Linked DNA regions of Ovis aries. The protein of the gene in region 2 interacts with the protein of the main gene of each other region in a pairwise test. Links are inferred from orthologs where the notes say so. Each region holds a gene or a part of one and is shown on either strand. Other genes may lie near its edges.

Region 1 (4,226 bases), on a different chromosome or scaffold from region 2:
TTTGCCAACAAAAGTCTGTCTAGTCAAGGCTATGGTTTTCCCAGTGTTCGTGTATGGATGTGAGAGTGTGAAGAAAGCTGAGCGCCGAAGTATTGGTGCTTTTGAACTGTGGTGTTGGAGAAGACTTGAGAATCCCTTGGACTGCAAGGAGATCCAACCAGTCCATTCTAAAGGAGATCAGCCCTGGGATTTCTTTGGAAGGAATGATGCTGAAGCTGAAACTCCAATACTTTGGCCACCTCATGCGAAGAGTTGACTCATTGGAAAAGACTCTGATGCTGAGAGGGATTGGGGGCAGGAGGAGAAGGGGACGACAGAGGATGAGATGGCTGGATGGCATCACGGACTCGATGGATGTGAGTCTGAGTGAACTCTGGGAGTTGGTGATCGGCAGGGAGGCCTGGCGTGCTGCGATTCATGGGGTCGCAGTCGGTCACGACTGAGCGACTGAACTGAACTGAACTGAATCATAGTGCCATAATCACCATAATCATTACAGAAGTTTACCGAGTTGTGATTGTTTAAAATTGGTTATATATGTTTATATACATAAGTAAAGTGTGTGAAGTTGATGACATATGTATTGATGCATAAATGGCAGCTACTTTTCAGAAGGACTTTTTACAAAGCAGACTTCTTTCAAAGGAAATAGAGCCAATCCAGCCAAGTGGCACAGTCCTCACCCCTGGAAGCTCGCAGGTAGATCCATCGCTGACCCGCTGTGCGGCGGGCCGGCTGTGTTCAGCGGGCGGGCTGTGTTCAGCGGGCGCGGGCCTAAGGCGGACGCCGGAGCTCGGACGGGGCGGCGCGGCGGTTCCCTGCCAAGCGGCCCACGCCGCCCCGCCCGCTCGGCTGGGATGAGTGACGGCGACAACAGGTGCGCCGAGGCGTCTGTGGCTTCTCCGGAGCCCCCGAGTTTGGCGCGTCAGGCCCCGGGGGTCAGGCTTTAACTCTGCAAACTGGCCTCCTCTCCCCGCACCAGCCTTACGAAGTCGCCCGTCAACCGGCTTCTTGCACCTTAGTAAAGCAGCCTCTAAACGCACCGCCACCTCTCGAAAACCCACCAGTCCTAGAAGCCAACTTTTCTCCAAAGGGGAGGAGAGGAAAAGGCGTGTGGTGCATGGAGCTCTGCCTAGCCGTTCGCTGTCTCTTCCCCAGCCGTCCGAAAGCAGACGAGAGTGGCTTGAGAATAGAGCCCTCGATCCGCACACCTCACGCCCGCCCCGACCTGCTGCACGCTCTGCCCTTGAGACGGCCCAGCTCGGCGACCACGGGCCACCGCCGAAACCTGCCCGCCCGCGCCCCTCCCGGGCTTGCGGCGCCCGCCCGCACTGCCACCCGCCGCCCGAGGCTACGTCGTCTGCCCCTCCCTATCCCCGCCGGTGGCAGGTTCAGGCCCCGGGTTCGAGTCTGCGCCCTTGCAGCTGCCACCGCCGCCGTCGCCGCCAGGGGGAGAAAGTCTCCGTCGGGAAGCGTGGTGTTGCTTCCCGGGTGTGAAGGTGCTTTCGAACTGTAGGTTTCTGCGCCTTTCCCCCTGGCTTTTGAAGAGCAGAGAGGAAGATGGAGACCGAGTCCGGGGCGGTGAGTACGGCGGTCAGGGCCCAGAGTCCTGGGCCTCGGGCTAGCGGGGAGAAGGAGCAACGTGGACTCGGTCTGTGAGGGGCTGGAAGGACGAGTCTAGAGCTCGCTATTTTGTCAGCAAGAACCGTGGACAGGGCGCCCCATCGACCGCCATGAATAGCGGCCTGCCTGCAGGCCCGGTCGGGTTGTGTAGTGGGGTCAGGCAGGTGCGATGCCGGGCCTGGACTGGTGTAGACCTGCTGGGAGGTTCCGGGAAGTGTGGGTAACCGGGTCCTGTGCACCAGGCTGGGTTCAGGCTAGAGAACCAGCTTTCCCGCCGAAAGTAGGTTCGGCTGCGTCTTTGACGCTCACTCCAGCCACACTCAGCCTAGCCACCCTCATGAGGAGTTGACCAGGTGGCCATCCCCTCCACTTCCCTACCGGTCAGCGGAAACCAGAAGTCCTGAGAGACCTGGTGGGGGGGCGAGTGTGGGTTATATGGGGCACCTGGGCACAGGTTGGACCTGGACACTCGCGCCCAAGCCAGTCTGGGCCGGGTGGGGGAGGGGTGGGAGACCGAGTAGGCCCGAAGGGCTGTGGCAACGTGCCGTCGCGCCCCACCCCGTGCCCGCCGGCAGCCAATCAGCGAGTGCCACGCGATGCGCGCGGGGCCCTGCTACGCACGAGGCCGGCGTCTGGGTCTGTGCCGTTGAGGATTCCCGCCACTGCTTCTGGCGGGTTTGCGGGACAAAATTTCTCGCTGGCTAGCCTTCTTTTCCCTCCCGCACTTTGGTGGGGAGGGGGTGGATCCTCGAATCGGTGGTCCAGTTCACGATGACTTGAGAGAAACTGAGGAAGTTGTTGCTGCGGCCATTTCCTCCAGCACTTCAGCTTGCTGGCCTCGGAGGGGAAGGAGCGCCGAGTCCTTGACTGCGACGGTTAGCCCGTCTTTTTCCTCTTCTCTTCATTGGCAGAGTAGATGATAAATTTCGAGGTTAATTCTCCAGGGGAGGAGGCAGTGGGGGCACATTACTTTGGAGGAAATTTTAAATAAACTTTTTAGTACTAGAAGTTTTACTAAGCTAAGGACCCTTACTGCTTGCCCCAAAACAGCACCTGGCTAGGTGCTTTTCATACATTTGCAAAATTTTGCTGGCAGAATTTGAGGCATTCTGAATTAACTCAATAAATCGCTAACTGTCTCTAAGGAACTTAAAGATTGCCTCTACCTGAGCTTTGTTACTTCCAAGATTAAAATATTTTCTAGGGTTTTATTCATGTTGTAGTCTTCAGCCCACAACCTAAGGGTTGGTGAATCGTGAGCAAGAGGAAATTATTTATTCTTCATTCAACAAATGTTTATTGAACACCTGCTATATATGGTCTTAGATACTGCGGTGAACAAAACAAGCAAAGTCCTTTTTTTGAACATTACAATATAGTGGAAAGAGATGACAAACGTAGTATAAATTACATAGTGTGTTGGAAAGTGATTAGTGGTAAAGGGAAAAAATAGTTGGAACCCACAATAGAATAGGAACGTTAAAAATTGAACAATGATGTGAATAGCATGTACAAAGTTCGTGTTTTTCCTTCCTCCGTGTTGAGGATTTCTTAAGATTGGAAATAAAGCACTTTGTTCTCTTCCATTCATGTCATTTTTCTCTCATAAAAATAAAACCAGTGGAGTTTTATTTAAATAAATTTGAAAGCAAAAGAGTTCATCCATTGAATTATTTTGTTTTAAAGAAGAGAATTTCATGAATTTTTTTTAAATTTTGCAGATAAGTAATTTTTGCATTCTCTAAACAAATAGGCAGATAGAGTAGATTGTTTCTGCCAGAGCTGTTCAGTTATCTTTAGCAATACAAATCCACAATTGAAAAGTAAAACAAAACATCCCAGAATCATCCAGTCTGGCACTATGTCTTACAGGTGACTGAAGTTATAAATTAACTTTCAAATGCCCTGAGAGGATGCTATTAAGATTGGTTTCCCAGTTTTAACTGGCAGCTACAACAGAGCAATTATTAAATATGATGACTTTGTGGTTTAAAAGATATTTTTATGAACTCCCTTACTAGGGAGCGTTTTTCCTTCTTAAGACTAGATGGACAATAGACCCCAAAAGCCTATAGCCTGGTAGTCACCACTGGCCTAGATATTTCTCTGTACATCTTGCAGAGATTAATTTTTAGGGATTATGGCTTATTGGCTAGTAAAGTGAAAGGAGAGCAGTGTGAAAAAGAACAACTCCATTATCTAAGTGGGAAATTCATTTTCATGAGTTTGTTTTTCAGAGAATTTAAGTCGTGAACTTCAAGCTTTTTGAAGCACTCTTCGAGTGTCTCAGAAGTCTCTTTAGTGTTCTTATAAGGAAAATAGGAAGTTGTTATATTTGTTTCTCTTTAAAATTCTATTCCCAAGTCTTGTTTTTTTTCCAGTGTACCTTAAGAGTCTATCTACTATTTTGTTATTGTGCAAAGGCATATATGTTAGTTGTTATTGTTTTTATAGTTGCTAAGTCATGTCCAACGGTTTGCAACCTCATGGACTGTGGACCACCAAGCTCTCCTGTCCGTGGTATTTTTCAGGCAAGAATACTGGCATGGGTTGCCATTTTCTTCTCCATTACTTGTTAATACGTATTTATTAACATCTGAATT
Region 2 (4,279 bases):
TTCAAAGTGGACACTTTAATGTGGCTTGACTCTTGGAGTGGGAATGAATTCATGCATTCATTCCACAACCCTTTATAGAGCATTTATAGAGCTTAGCACTGGTGCTTCCGATACCTGGAAAATAAAAGCCCTTTCCCCACGGGGGAGACAGGTAAGTGTCTAGGCAAAAGCATTGCATCTTGGGAGATATGCTTAAAGGGAAAATAACCAGGGCCTAGGATAAAGATAATAATAACCTGGCTGGGGAAAGGGGGTCCTGGGGAGGTGATAGTGGAGTTGAGGCCTGAGTGGCAAGGAAAAGGCCTTGTGAAGATCAGGGGAGAGTTCCAGGCAGAGGGAACAGCAGAGACCTCAAGACAGGAGTGAGTTGGTAGACGTGAGAACCAGGAAGCAGTGCCAGGAGCTAGCAAGTGAGACATCACCAGGGCTCCCCATGGCAAGACCTCCTCCCTGGAAGGCCTGTTTCACACGAAGGCTGGCCGGAGCATGAGGTGGGAAGAAGGGCACTGGTCCATATTCTTTAATACAAGAGCCATTCCTATCGCCTTTCTTTGAGACTCTCCAGTAATGGAATGATGGCAGGTTCTGTTAGGAGGTTATGCCATCAGCCCCTGCCTCCTGCCCTCCTCTGCTTGGCTTCATTCTCCTGTCTCATACCCCAATGTGGGCCAGAGCCAGTGCACTGATTCCCTGGGAAGAATCAGAAATGATCCCCAGCCACATACACCAATGATGTTTCCCCAACAGGCCCACTGATTTAATCCCCTGACCTGTGGACAACCCATTTGCTCCTGACTTCATGTGTGACTTTGAGCCAGTTACTTAACATCCCCAATCTTTCATCTCCTGATCTGTAAAATGAGGATCAAACCAGTCTGGGGCAAGTTGTTATGAGGATTGAGTGCCATCCCTCTTGGCACTCAGGAGATACTCCATGAATGTCAGCTTCCTTATTCTCCCTGAGCTTCCCCCACAAAGAGGGGCTGGTTTACAAAAGGGTAGGGAAGGGTTCCCAGGTGGTGCTAGTGGTAAAGAACACGCTTGCCAAAGCAGGAGACACCGGTTTGATCCCTGGGTCAGGAAGAGCCCCCTGGAGGGCATGGCAACCCACTCCAGTATTCTTGCTTGGAAAATTCCATGAACAGAGGAGCCTGGTGGGTTACAGTCCATAGGGTGGCAAAGAAGCGACTTAGCATGCACAGGCAGGGAAGGTCACAGCAGGCCAGTGCGGGGTGGCCAGTTTGGGGTTCCCTCCCCCCAACTCTGGGACCCTTTGGAAGGTGAGGGGCACTCAGGACTGGCCAGCCAAGGGTAGGGAGGCTACTCACCGATGGGTCCAGCCCTGCCGCCAGAAGAGCCCCTGCGTCTCCCCTGTGTGCTGCCCGGGGAGCCCCAGGGCCAGGCCACTTTCCCGACCCGCTCTTCTGCGCTCCGCTCCGGGCGGCGCGGCTCCTGGCACCTGCTCCCCGTGGGCCGCCCAGGGGCGGGCTCCGGGGACGCGGCGGCTGCCCCGAGACGCGCGGGCCCGGGACTCATCCGCCGCGCACCTCCGGGAGCCAGGAGCCGGGAGCCGCCGAGAATCCGGACCGCCCCTGGCGGCGGCGGACGACTGGATGCGGCCCCGCTCGGGTCGGAAGCGCCCTTCAGGTAGGCGCGGGCGCGGGCCGTGGGACCGCACTCCCGGCTCCCCATCCCGGACCGACGCGCCGCTGGGACTGAGCACCCAAGGGGGCCCGCGCGGGGTGGGGGTGTAGGTGGCTCCGTAGGGCTGGTGGCAGCAGCGAGGACCCTACCCTGCCTTGTGTTTTGGGAAGGTGGGCGACAAGAATCACGAGGCCGAGAGGGGGGACAAGGGTGATGGCCAGAACTTTTAGCTCCCAGGAAGTAGGGGAAGGGAGGCTGGCGACCATAGGCCAGGGACAGCGAGACTCATCCCGAGAAGGGACAATTCTCCGCAGACAGGGGGATCGACCACAGAACCTACCTTTTTTGTCTAAGTTCTTTAGAGACTCCAAAAATCAACTCCCACCCCATCAGCCCCTGAGATAGAACAGAAAGGAAGGGGTGGGGGATGGGAGACCTATTGTCTTTTGGGGGTGGGTGCAGAGAGTACACTCATCCCCCCCACTCCGTCACCCCCATCTCCACTATTCACAGTCATTGGAGGCCGCCTCGCCTGCCCCTCCTCCTTCAAGCAGAATGCCTCCTCTTCTGTCAGGGTCAGAGGTAGAGGCTGGCCCTCCTGGCCTTTGTGGGAGGCAGGATTCCGCCTCACCCGCCCCTCCCCACCCACCCCCACCCGCGCCGACAAATCTCAAACAGCCCCGGACCTCTCAGCCCTCCTCCCTCTGGCTCTCTCTCTCTCTCTCTCTGACTCATTCTCTCAGCCCCATCTTGGAAGTGCTGACCCTGGGGCCATCACGATGGGGAGCCTTGTTTGGGGGAGCTAGTGTTCAGGCTTTTGGGGAGTTGGGCCGGGAGAGCAAGCAGTGGATGAGGCTGAACTGTGCCAGGGTCCTGGGCAGGGGCTTTGGTGCGGGTTGGGGGGCTCTCCTGTACAAATCAGGTTCCTAGGCCTTGCCTGGAAGCAGAGGTCAGAAGAGGGGACACTGAGGCTAATCCCCCCGCCCCCACCTTAGAGGCAGCTGTTCTGTGTTACCACTGTGGGCCCTTCGAGGAGGGATGCAGCTGAGATAACAAGAAAGACTTCCTTCCGGAGGGTGGCCAGAGGATCTTTCAGGGGAGAATCAGTGTCCAGGAGAGGCAGCCCTTATCTCTAGGGTGTTCAGAGGAAGAAGGCCCTCTGGGACTCCCAGCCAATAGGGGGTGAGGATAGCCTGGGGGGATGGTGACCTCACCTCTGGACCATTGCTCTTGTCACCTCTCATGCCCTCTCTCTTGCTTCCTTGGAGCCAGAGTGTTGACTTTCAGCACCACTTAGCCAGCTCACTCCTGAAAACCCCAGCACCCAGCCGTCCCCAGGGAAAGGTGACAGGCTTCATCTCTCATCACTTCGGATGGGACAACAGACATGACTGCCTTGGTTTGTCCAGTGGATCCCTCCCACCCCCACCCACAGCAGCCCAGCCTCAGGGCCTCCTGCCTGGCAAAGTGGGGACGTGTGAGCTGGGGGTGGGAATGGCTGCCCCCAGTCGGGCCATCCCACTCCTCTAGGTGGGAGTCTCTGACTCCTTTGGGGAGTCTTGGGTATGACCATGGGTGACCCCAGCTCTCTGGGCCATCCCCTGGGGGTGCCGCTCTGTGGGGGCTGCACAGTGAACACCCTGCAAGGTGTCAGCCTTGGGAGAGCAGAGTGCTTGGTGGTGGCTCCTTGGGGGCCTGTGGGGGGCAGCCAGGCCCAGGAGGGCTCACACTCCACAGGACAAGAACAGATGAGGCCTCTCTTCTTCCAGACACGGCCCCATACTCCCGCCTGTGACCCTGGGAGTGATGGGATGGGGGCTGCCAGGCTGTGTACCCCTTCCCCCTGCATCATAGGATGAGGCCTGTCGTTTCGATTGTGAGCCTCAGTTTCCTCATCTGTAGAGCCTCACAGGGTTGCTCTGAGGGTTAACAGAGGTGATGTCTGTCCAGTGCCCGGAAGGCAATGGGCACTCGCCACAGGGCAGTTCTTTCTCTGTCCCCACCCCACCTTCCTCTGGCTGCTGAAACAGACAAATACAGCTTGGCGTCCCCCCTCCACCCCAACCTTAGAGGCAGCTGCTCCCCGTGGCCACTACAGCACCGCCTGCAAGGGACCTAAGAGATTAGCCCAGCCCAATCCGCTCTCCTTGAAGACAGGGAACTGAAGCCCAGAAGGGCAGGGCTGGCCCGACTTTGGCCAGCCAGCCAGGCTCCCTTCTCAGAGGCAGCGCAGGGGACCTGGCTCGGGGATGCGAAGGGTAGATATTGGCAGACCTGGGGGAAAATACCAAAGTGTAACTGGGCTCATTAAGGATTAGGTGAGGGAGCCCTTCATGCCCTGCCAAAGGCTGGGGACAGGCCTGGAACCCTCCTCTTCTGTTAACCCTTTGCAAAGACAGGTCTTCCCCAAGAACCCCCTTCCCCAGGATGCAACCACTTCCCGCTCTGCACTTGCGGCCTCCGAAGAATTTCTCTCTAGCCATATTTGGGTAGTGCAGTGCCCAAGGATGCCACTGACACCTGGGGCCCCGAAGTCCACTGACACTCAGCAAGAAGGGGTGGAAACGGGCTCTGGAGCCATATCTGAGTGCTCCCTTCCCCCAAGCCCCCTCTACCTCCGTGAGGACAGACACAT

What was found.
Region 1: the proteins of ZNF385C (region 2) and BOLL interact in a two-hybrid assay, tested with the Homo sapiens proteins (2 studies listed by BioGRID). The two-hybrid records come from large-scale screens. The link is inferred for Ovis aries from reciprocal best matches to the Homo sapiens genes ZNF385C and BOLL.

What each region holds. Positions count from the first base shown.
Region 1 is NC_056055.1:200,041,803-200,046,028, reverse strand, and holds the start of BOLL (protein boule-like), read left to right. Parts: upstream 1-1,426; 5' UTR 1,427-1,560; coding exon 1,561-1,581; intron 1,582-4,226. UniProt on the Homo sapiens protein: Probable RNA-binding protein, which may be required during spermatogenesis. May act by binding to the 3'-UTR of mRNAs and regulating their translation.
Region 2 is NC_056064.1:41,946,880-41,951,158, reverse strand, and holds the start of ZNF385C (zinc finger protein 385C), read left to right. Parts: upstream 1-1,479; 5' UTR 1,480-1,613; coding exon 1,614-1,647; intron 1,648-4,279.